Linked DNA regions of Nothobranchius furzeri. The protein of the gene in region 1 interacts with the protein of each later gene in a pairwise test. Links are inferred from orthologs where the notes say so. Each region holds a gene or a part of one and is shown on either strand. Other genes may lie near its edges.

Region 1 (4,183 bases):
CTAATGTTACTCTGTGTGTGTGGCGACTCCTGGTCTCCATGAAAATCTTTTTTCCACACAAATTTATACGTTTTTAAAGTATTTAAATCATGACTGCTGCTATTTTCCGGCTCCCGAGTACACCGCCGTGTTGGATCTTTGTTTACCAAATGCATGCACCGCATTGGTCTAAAGCGATCACATGAGAGCCGCTTCACTACTTCCTCATTATGCTCAAAACAAACTCGTCCCGAATTAAAACGACGATTGTAATCAAATTGCAGGACTTTCAGAGGAGAAATGTAGCTTTTGAAACCAGGACGAATGTACTACTATTATGAAGCAAAGAACCACAAGAGCTCGGACGAGGGGTTCACCTCTTGGTCTGTATGTGCAACACGTGGCTCCACCCATCAGATGTTGGGTCTGCGTGTTATTGTGAAGCAGCTGATCATCTGACGCTGTGGGCTAAAGGTTGCTAACATGTGTGCATGCTTCTAGATGGGAGCGGTGATCAAACAGGTCCATGCTGTTCTTCATGCACTCATGCCGAATGTGTCTACCAAATGGTCATGTGATTGGTACAGCCCAGGTGACTAGTGACAGCCACGCTAAATGTCTGGAGACACCCGTATTCATCACTCCGTAACTTCTGTAACAATCAGCCTAGTCGACCACCTGACCCACAGTCTTAACCTTTCACTAGCATTGCTGACGTATGGATGCGATTCCTGTTTCTCTGGATTAGTCAGCCAAACCTCACGAGCGCTCCTGCTGTCCTCTGATAGCTCAGCTGTGGTCCTGGAGAGAAAGTGGCACTACTTCATCTTTTAGGAACTCTGCTGCACATCTGGGACTCGTCCTCCATCACCGAACATCCAAATGTCTCATCTTTGACCCCGTTCCCCAGGTCCCAGCCATGTCCTCGTCCCCTCTCCCAGTGCTCTCCCGACCAGTACATTCATGGCAGATAAAGAAATGGGATGTCAGCATCTGTCATGAATTCTTTAACCACCCTCTTCTTTCCTCGTCCACTCTGACTCTGGTTTTGTCCGCCCACTCCCAGGATCTGGATCAGTGATTTGTCTGTATTTAGAGCAGCTGTGAGCGCTCATGCATGTATCTGTTTGTGTTAACCAGACTGTTACGTGCGCCAGCCCGTGGGCTGTTCTCTGTGTTTGGGTGCATCTCTGAATGAGTGTTTGTGAATGTATCAGGACTCCTATTTCCAAGTTAATCCCCTAGGAAGAGGTGTGGTTCTCTCTCTCTCTCTCTCTCTCTCTCTCTCTCTCTCTCTCTCTCTCTCTCTCTCTCTCTCTCTCTCTCTCTCTCTCTCTTTCTCTCTCTCTCTCTCTCTCACTCACTCTCTCTCCAGCTCTTCACTCCCTCCCAGTACCATCACATGCTCACTCTCCCCTCTCCATCCTGTCTCTGTGCTGTTATTGTCGTGGCTGTTACTCTGAGGCAGAGCTCACCGTTTTTCTGTCATCTCTGCATCGTCTCTCATCTGCGGCGGTTCCATGAGCTCTTGGAACGAGATGGGGGAGGCCATCGAACTCAGGTGAGCCTGGCTGAGAGTGGGGAGGGGAGGCATATGCCTGTTGTAGAAGAATCACAGACATGTGTTTGTGTTTGCACGGATGTGCACCTGTTTCTAAGTGGGTCAGTTGTTGCCGTAGCGATCAGCTCTTTGGACTACTTTCCTGAGCCTCGTTTTTTCTTCTGCCTGTAACAATGACCCTAATCCAGTCCGGGGTGGGGTGGGGGTGTGTGTCCAATTTCTGTCAAGGCTAACAAGACATCTGAGACTTTTGTAGTAATGATAGTAGTGTTTTTTCCCCTTTCCTTTTGGTTTGTTGCTATTTTTATTGAGATGTACGCCTTGGTGACGTTTTCACTCTCTGCCAAATTGATAATAGATTTAGCCTGTATCGACAGGGCTCATAACAGTTAATAGGCTTAGCAGATGCACCAGACCCCATGTCCATATGGGGCAGATTAATGCTGCTAAACTGATTATTTCCCCTTTTTTGTTCAGCGCTGGATACCAGCTGTGTGTGTGTGTGTGTGTGTGTGTCTGCGTGCGTGTGTGTGTGTGTGTGTGTGTGTGTGTGTGTGTGTGTGTGTGTATGCGCTTGTTACAAGGTGTCAGTCAAATTTTTTGGCACCCATGTGACAGGCTCTGCTGCAGAGATGTTGGCCTGGTTTCAACATACTTGATATATTTGAATCTATAAAGAATTGTTGGTTTTAAGATTCTTAGCTTCAAACACAAACCGTTAAAACACCCCAGAACATAATTAGTTAGTTTAAACGAGTTGACTCCTTTTAATTATTTAAATCATCATATTGCTCGAAGTACAGGGCGAGGAGGAGGATTAGCAACCATTTTTCATTCAGACTTATTAATCAGTCCCTTACCAATTAATAGCTACAGTTCTTTTGAACATCTTATTCTTAGTTTTCTTAATCCAGATTGCAAAACTGTAAAACCACTCTTGTTTGTAGTTTTATATCGTCCACCAGGCCCTTACTCTGAGTTTTTGGATCAAATCTCTGATTTTTTTTATCTGATTTGGTGCTAAATACTGATAAGGCCATTATAGTGGGGGATTTTAATATTCATGTGGACATTGAAAATGATAGCCTCATTGTAGCCTTTAGTAATATCTTAGACTCAATTGGTTTTACCCAAAGAATACATAGCTCCACCCACTCCTGCCATCATACATTAGACCTTGTGCTGACTTATGGCATAGAGTGTGAGGAAATAACGATCTTTCCACATAATCCAGTCCTCTCGGACCACTTTCTGATAACCTTTGAGGTTTTATAACTGAGTTCTCGAGACATGAAAGTAAATTTCACTATAGGCGGTCTCTATCTGACAACGCAGTTGCATCTTTTAAATCAACTGTTCCATCTTTACTGTCCTCAGCATCTCAGAGGAACGTAGCAGAGGGCAATATTTTCATTTCTAGCCCCTCACAAATTGATGCCTTAGTTCATCATTTTAATTCCTCTTTACGTGTGGCATTAGATGATGTTGCCCCTTTAAAAAAAAGAAGGTAATTAGGGACAGGAAGTTGGCTCTCTGGTTTATTTCTCATTTACAAGCTTTAAAACAAAACTCTAGAAAATTGGAGAGAACATGGCGCTCTACGCACCATGAGGAGGCCTACCTATCCTGGAAAAATAGTCTTGTGCTTTATAAAAATAAGCTTTGACAAACTAGAACTGCTTATTTCTCAGCGTTAATTGAGGAGAATAAGCATAATCCTAAATTTCTTTTCAGTACAGTTGCTAAACTTACACAGAATCATAGCTCTGAACCATCTATTCCCTTAGCCCTCAGCAGCAATGACTTCATGGGAATTTTTACAAGTAAAGTTAATTCTATTAGAAACAAAATCTTTAGCATCCTCCCTAATGCGATTTCTTCTTCCTCAGTAAGTGAGGCAGCATCAGAGGTAACTGTAGAACCTCATCTGTGCTTGAACCGTTTTGATCCAATTGAGCTTTCAGAGTTATCAAAAATATTAGCTTCATCTAAACTTTCCACTTGCATTTTGGATCCAATCCCAACCAAATTATTTAAAGATGCATTTCTTTTGTTTACTGCCCCCATTCTAGATATAATCAATCTATCCTTAGTAAATGGATACGTACCACAGGATTTTAAGGTTGCTGTAATCAAACCTTTACTTAAGAAGTCTTCTCTGGTTCCAGATGACCCAATATCTAACCTTCCATTTTTATCCAAAGTCCTGGAGAAAATAGTGGCCATCCAAGTATGTGAGCACTTAAACACTTGGTTCTTGCTCATCCCTCGTGAGGGTGAGCGTCCTGAGAAAAAGGGAAGATGGCGCCGTCCACGGCCTGCCGTCTGCTCTCCCGATTGTTGTTTTTGCTTTTTATTTTCCTGTGTTGCTCTTTGGTGGATAGTAGCTCAAATTTTCGAGATGATCGGCTCCTTCTTCTTGAACTTCAGCATAAACTTGGATTTGCCTATCACCGCTGTTCGGATCTAAGACGGTCCTTCGCCCCGCTGTTTACGACGGTCCCAGCTCTGCTGCTTCGCTCTCCCCGCCCGGCGTGGCTACCAAGGAAACGCCGCAGACATGGTAAATGTGGGGGTTCCAAAGTGCGGCTCAGAGCCTCCTCCGGCCGTTCGTGCATGGGATGTAAACCTCACCTGTCACCA
Region 2 (3,927 bases), on another chromosome or scaffold:
AGACTTGGTGGAGTTTTTCTAATACATATGAAAACTATATATTTAACATTAAAAGACAAACCCGTTTTTTGTGCAGAAAGAAACATGACTGTTATGTAGAGCAGACGTCCACAAAGCATCACAAGCTTCCACAGTATGGTCAGACTGTGAATGTCTGTTCTTTCACAAAGCTGTCCTCACCCTGATCCTCCTCCCCACAGGAGCAGTCACTGTCGACCCTGTAGCCTCGCCCGACCTCGTCCTGCGGCACACAGTGGCAGAACGACTCCCCCGTCACCGGAGCTGTGCACGGTAGAGCCTCCAGCTTGGGTGTGGTGTGACATTTGTCCACCTCCACCTCCACTTCCAAGTCCAAGTCACTAAACTGTTTCACACAAAAAGCACATTTTAAGTCCTCAGATGTAGCCGTGCTTGATCCTTAGTAGCGAGGAGAGGGACTGGTTCTAGAATGTGAGGTTTGTTTTGAACATTTTTGTAATCCAACCAACAGCGGGGAGGCTTTTGTGGACAGCTTCTGCCAGAGATTGTACCCGGTAGAGAGGCTGAGATGAGAAAACCATCATTTAAATTCCTAAACGTGTGCGTCATGTGCTAACCTCTGATTAATTTGTGTTTTCTCCAAAAGGTTTCTACTTGTGTGTGTGTGTGTGTGATTTCCTCTGTTTACTTGTGGAGCACATCTATGATTTCACCTGTTCTAGCGACAAAACACTAGATTTAATCACTTCTTATCATCCAGAGGAACCAATTTCTTGCTCATCTAAGTGATATTTGTGATTTTCTGCACCTCTAGTCTCACCTGTGTCTCTGTCTGGCTCTGACACTCTTCGCCGTCAGTGGATTGGACATCTGTCTCCTGTCTCAGGTCACTCCAGGCCACGTGTCGAGCTCTGCTGTTTCTGCCTCTTCTCAGCATGGCAGCTCTACGGACAGCCGGCACAAGACTTGGTGACCAGCTGTCAAACATTCTGGAGGCTGTGCACTTCTTAAGGTCAGCGGTGATCTAGATCAGTGGTTCCCAAACATTTCCACTTCAGACCCAGAAAATAGCAGTTGTGAGCCCAGATATTTTTGATTTCACGACACAAAAATGCTTAAAAAGTCAAATAATTCAGGGCATAATAAAAACTGCTTCAGCTCATGTTCACTTACATCCATTTATGAGACGTTAGTGGAGTTTTTGTAACAATTATGCTAGAAATATAGCTTCAGTAATCGTTTTTCAGTTTTATTTTGACTTCTCGAAATCACCTCGAGACTGCCTGTATAGCTCTTGGTGACCCACAGTAGGGTCCTGACCCCAACTTTGGGAACCACTGAAAGATCCTAGAAAACTGTGAAATAAATCAAATTAGAATGTTTTTAGGTAGCTTTGGCTTTTAAAATCTTTTTGTACTTTTCAGTTGTGTCCGCCCACATTTTTCTTTATATTTCAAAATCCTGTCAGGCAGCTCAAAATGGGTCGGTTTGAAAATCTGTTAGTTTTGGTGCCTGGAAAGAGTCATGCTGAAGCTGCATGACATGCCAGTCAACATGAACGATCTGTGTGTCCTGGATCTCCTGCCATCTGCTCCCATATAGCACAGCTAGCAACAGGAAGTCCTTCCACACACGCTAAAACCTTTAAATCCAGTGCTTTCTACTGGAAGTCACTTGACCCAACATATAAGTCAGAAATCACAGAAAAGACCAATCTTATTCAACAAACTGCCACATTTTACACTAGAGGTGTAACAGCTGGGTTATTTAGTGAAAAGAAAAAACAGGAATGGCATCATTTTTAGACGTCTGAGTCTAATATCAATTTTTAAAAATCTTAGCTAATTTACTAAATGCAGAGTTCTGTTTATCTGATAACCAACCTCTATGTTGCATAGATTTAACAGATGTAATAGATTCATTTTAAAACGCTGAACTAGGGATGGACAATATATCGACATCAACAAATCGGTATTGGTTCGATAAATAAAACCGGGCCGATATTAACAACCGATAGTTTTTCCATCTTGTCTCCATTTGTTTGCCTGTTTCAGAGGGTGATGGGGTGACGTGTAATTGTTTAGTCGTGTGAACAGTGATTGTAATCATCTCAGAAGTGTAAATGTGTGTGGTGTGTGTACATAATAATGTAAATTCAGCTTTAATAATTTTCATTTTATACAAAATTGCTGATTTTAGAAGCGTTGGTGTCAGTATATCGGTTATCGGCCATAACAAGGATATTAATATCGGATATTGGTATCGGCCCTAAAATGTCATATCGGCGCATACACTGACCCCATTCTGTCCCTCGACCTGATGGAAATATTTCTGTTAATTCCAGTCCTGAACACAGCAGCTGGTTGCTGCTTCACAAACAGGTGCAGTGGATGGCTGCCCATTAATTCAGATTAGTCAGTCTAGAGCAAGTCTCATTTTAATTGAGCCTTACCCCATATCTTCTGAATGCATCAGCTGGAGGTTTGAGTATGGACAGAACACTGGTGAGTCAGTGTGCTCAAGGATATAGGAAATAAATTTAATAAACTCAAAGGCAGCTTTATTATAACAACTAAGACACAAACATTTAAGATGTTGTAGTCACTTTTAACTGTCCCGCTGCAGAATCGTACCTTCTAGTCACAACTTCACAGCTGCAGCGAGTTCTGCAAAAGTTCTGCTTCATCCTAAAACACTTTAAAGCACATGGTAACATTTGTGAGTCTATGCTCTTACCTTAAACTGGTCTTCTTATGCAGTCTAGCAGTAGCTCATTCGCCTTTCTGTGCGTCTGTGTGACAGCTGCAGTGAGCACCCTGCCCCACTTCCACACAGGATAGACGTAAACACAACCTTTGTGTTCCCATTGGATGAAACCTTTGTGGGGGAGGAGTTTGTGTACATCTTATTATTGCTTACGTCTGCTGCTCAATGACGCATCATGTGAGATGTGCTGACCTGAACATATTTTAACAACAAAACAACACTTTATACACAACAAAACGTGATATAAAATAATTTCTAAACGTATAATTTGTGTTATCCTTTGATGAATCAGCTGCAAAAGAATTTCAAATAAAATCGTGCTGAAAACTAAGAAAAAGTATCAGTTGGTGTGTAATCTACGGAAGCGTATTACTCTTCTTCCAACCATCGAATCTTAAATATTTTACAGTATGAGACGCACCTGAATCTATCATTTTCAAAACTAGTTTCTTATTGGTTGCATTTTTTTAAAGGCGGGGCCAAGATGCAGCATGAGCTGTGTGATTGGTGCGTGACTACGTACAGGAAGTGTTCTGTTACCGAACTCGTGTTAGCCCTAAATCTAAAATATGGAACAGAATAATGGTAGGTGGAGGATGTTTATCAAATAGAAACAAAATAAGTCCGGATTTCTTCTGAAATTTGTCAATTCTTACATTATCTGTTTAATTTTATGCCTAAAAAAGTCGAAGTATCTTATTAGCTTCAGCTAACTAGAGCTCCTTAAGATTAACTTGCTCTTAATTATCAAAGTGAAATGAAAGAGTTTATTGTTGTTATTATTTCGTCTCAGTTCATTGTTTCTTGTCATTGTGACGTCTTGGTTTTCTTTGCCTCACGTCAGACGGGAACTTGTCCCAGGTTCGTCATGTTGTTCTGGTGTTATCAGGGAAGGGAGGCGTGGGGAAGAGCACCATCACCACAGAGTTAGCCCTGGCTCTCAGACATGCTGACAAAAAGGTGAGCATATATCACATCTGTTTTTTTTTTTTTTTAACTCTGGTGACTCAGAGATGTCCTCATCTCATGGTTAGAGCAGCAAGTCATACCTTTCAAACATAAGTGTTCATGTCACCACCAATAACTTGTTTTCACCAATGCATTTCTCTCCAGGGGTGTCCCACAAATCTCCATACTTGGTCCTGTTCTTTTTCCACGGATTTTATCACTTTTACGTTTAAA

The links. The genes of interacting proteins can lie anywhere in the genome.
Region 2: the proteins of numbl (region 1) and spsb3b interact in binary tests that used the Homo sapiens proteins (3 or more experiments, as listed by UniProt). The two-hybrid records come from large-scale screens. The link is inferred for Nothobranchius furzeri from reciprocal best matches to the Homo sapiens genes NUMBL and SPSB3.

Annotation. Positions count from the first base shown.
Region 1 is NC_091753.1:64,892,621-64,896,803, reverse strand, and holds the start of numbl (numb-like protein), read left to right. Parts: upstream 1-1,383; 5' UTR 1,384-1,499; coding exon 1,500-1,540; intron 1,541-4,183. UniProt on the Homo sapiens protein: Plays a role in the process of neurogenesis. Required throughout embryonic neurogenesis to maintain neural progenitor cells, also called radial glial cells (RGCs), by allowing their daughter cells to choose progenitor over neuronal cell fate.
Region 2 is NC_091756.1:32,878,185-32,882,111, forward strand, and holds the start of spsb3b (SPRY domain-containing SOCS box protein 3), read right to left. Parts: upstream 2,801-3,927; 5' UTR 2,716-2,800; intron 1,032-2,715; 5' UTR 968-1,031; coding exon 800-967; intron 365-799; coding exon 181-364; intron 1-180. Other genes in the region: cytosolic Fe-S cluster assembly factor nubp2, read left to right, coding at 3,315-3,330, 3,590-3,705.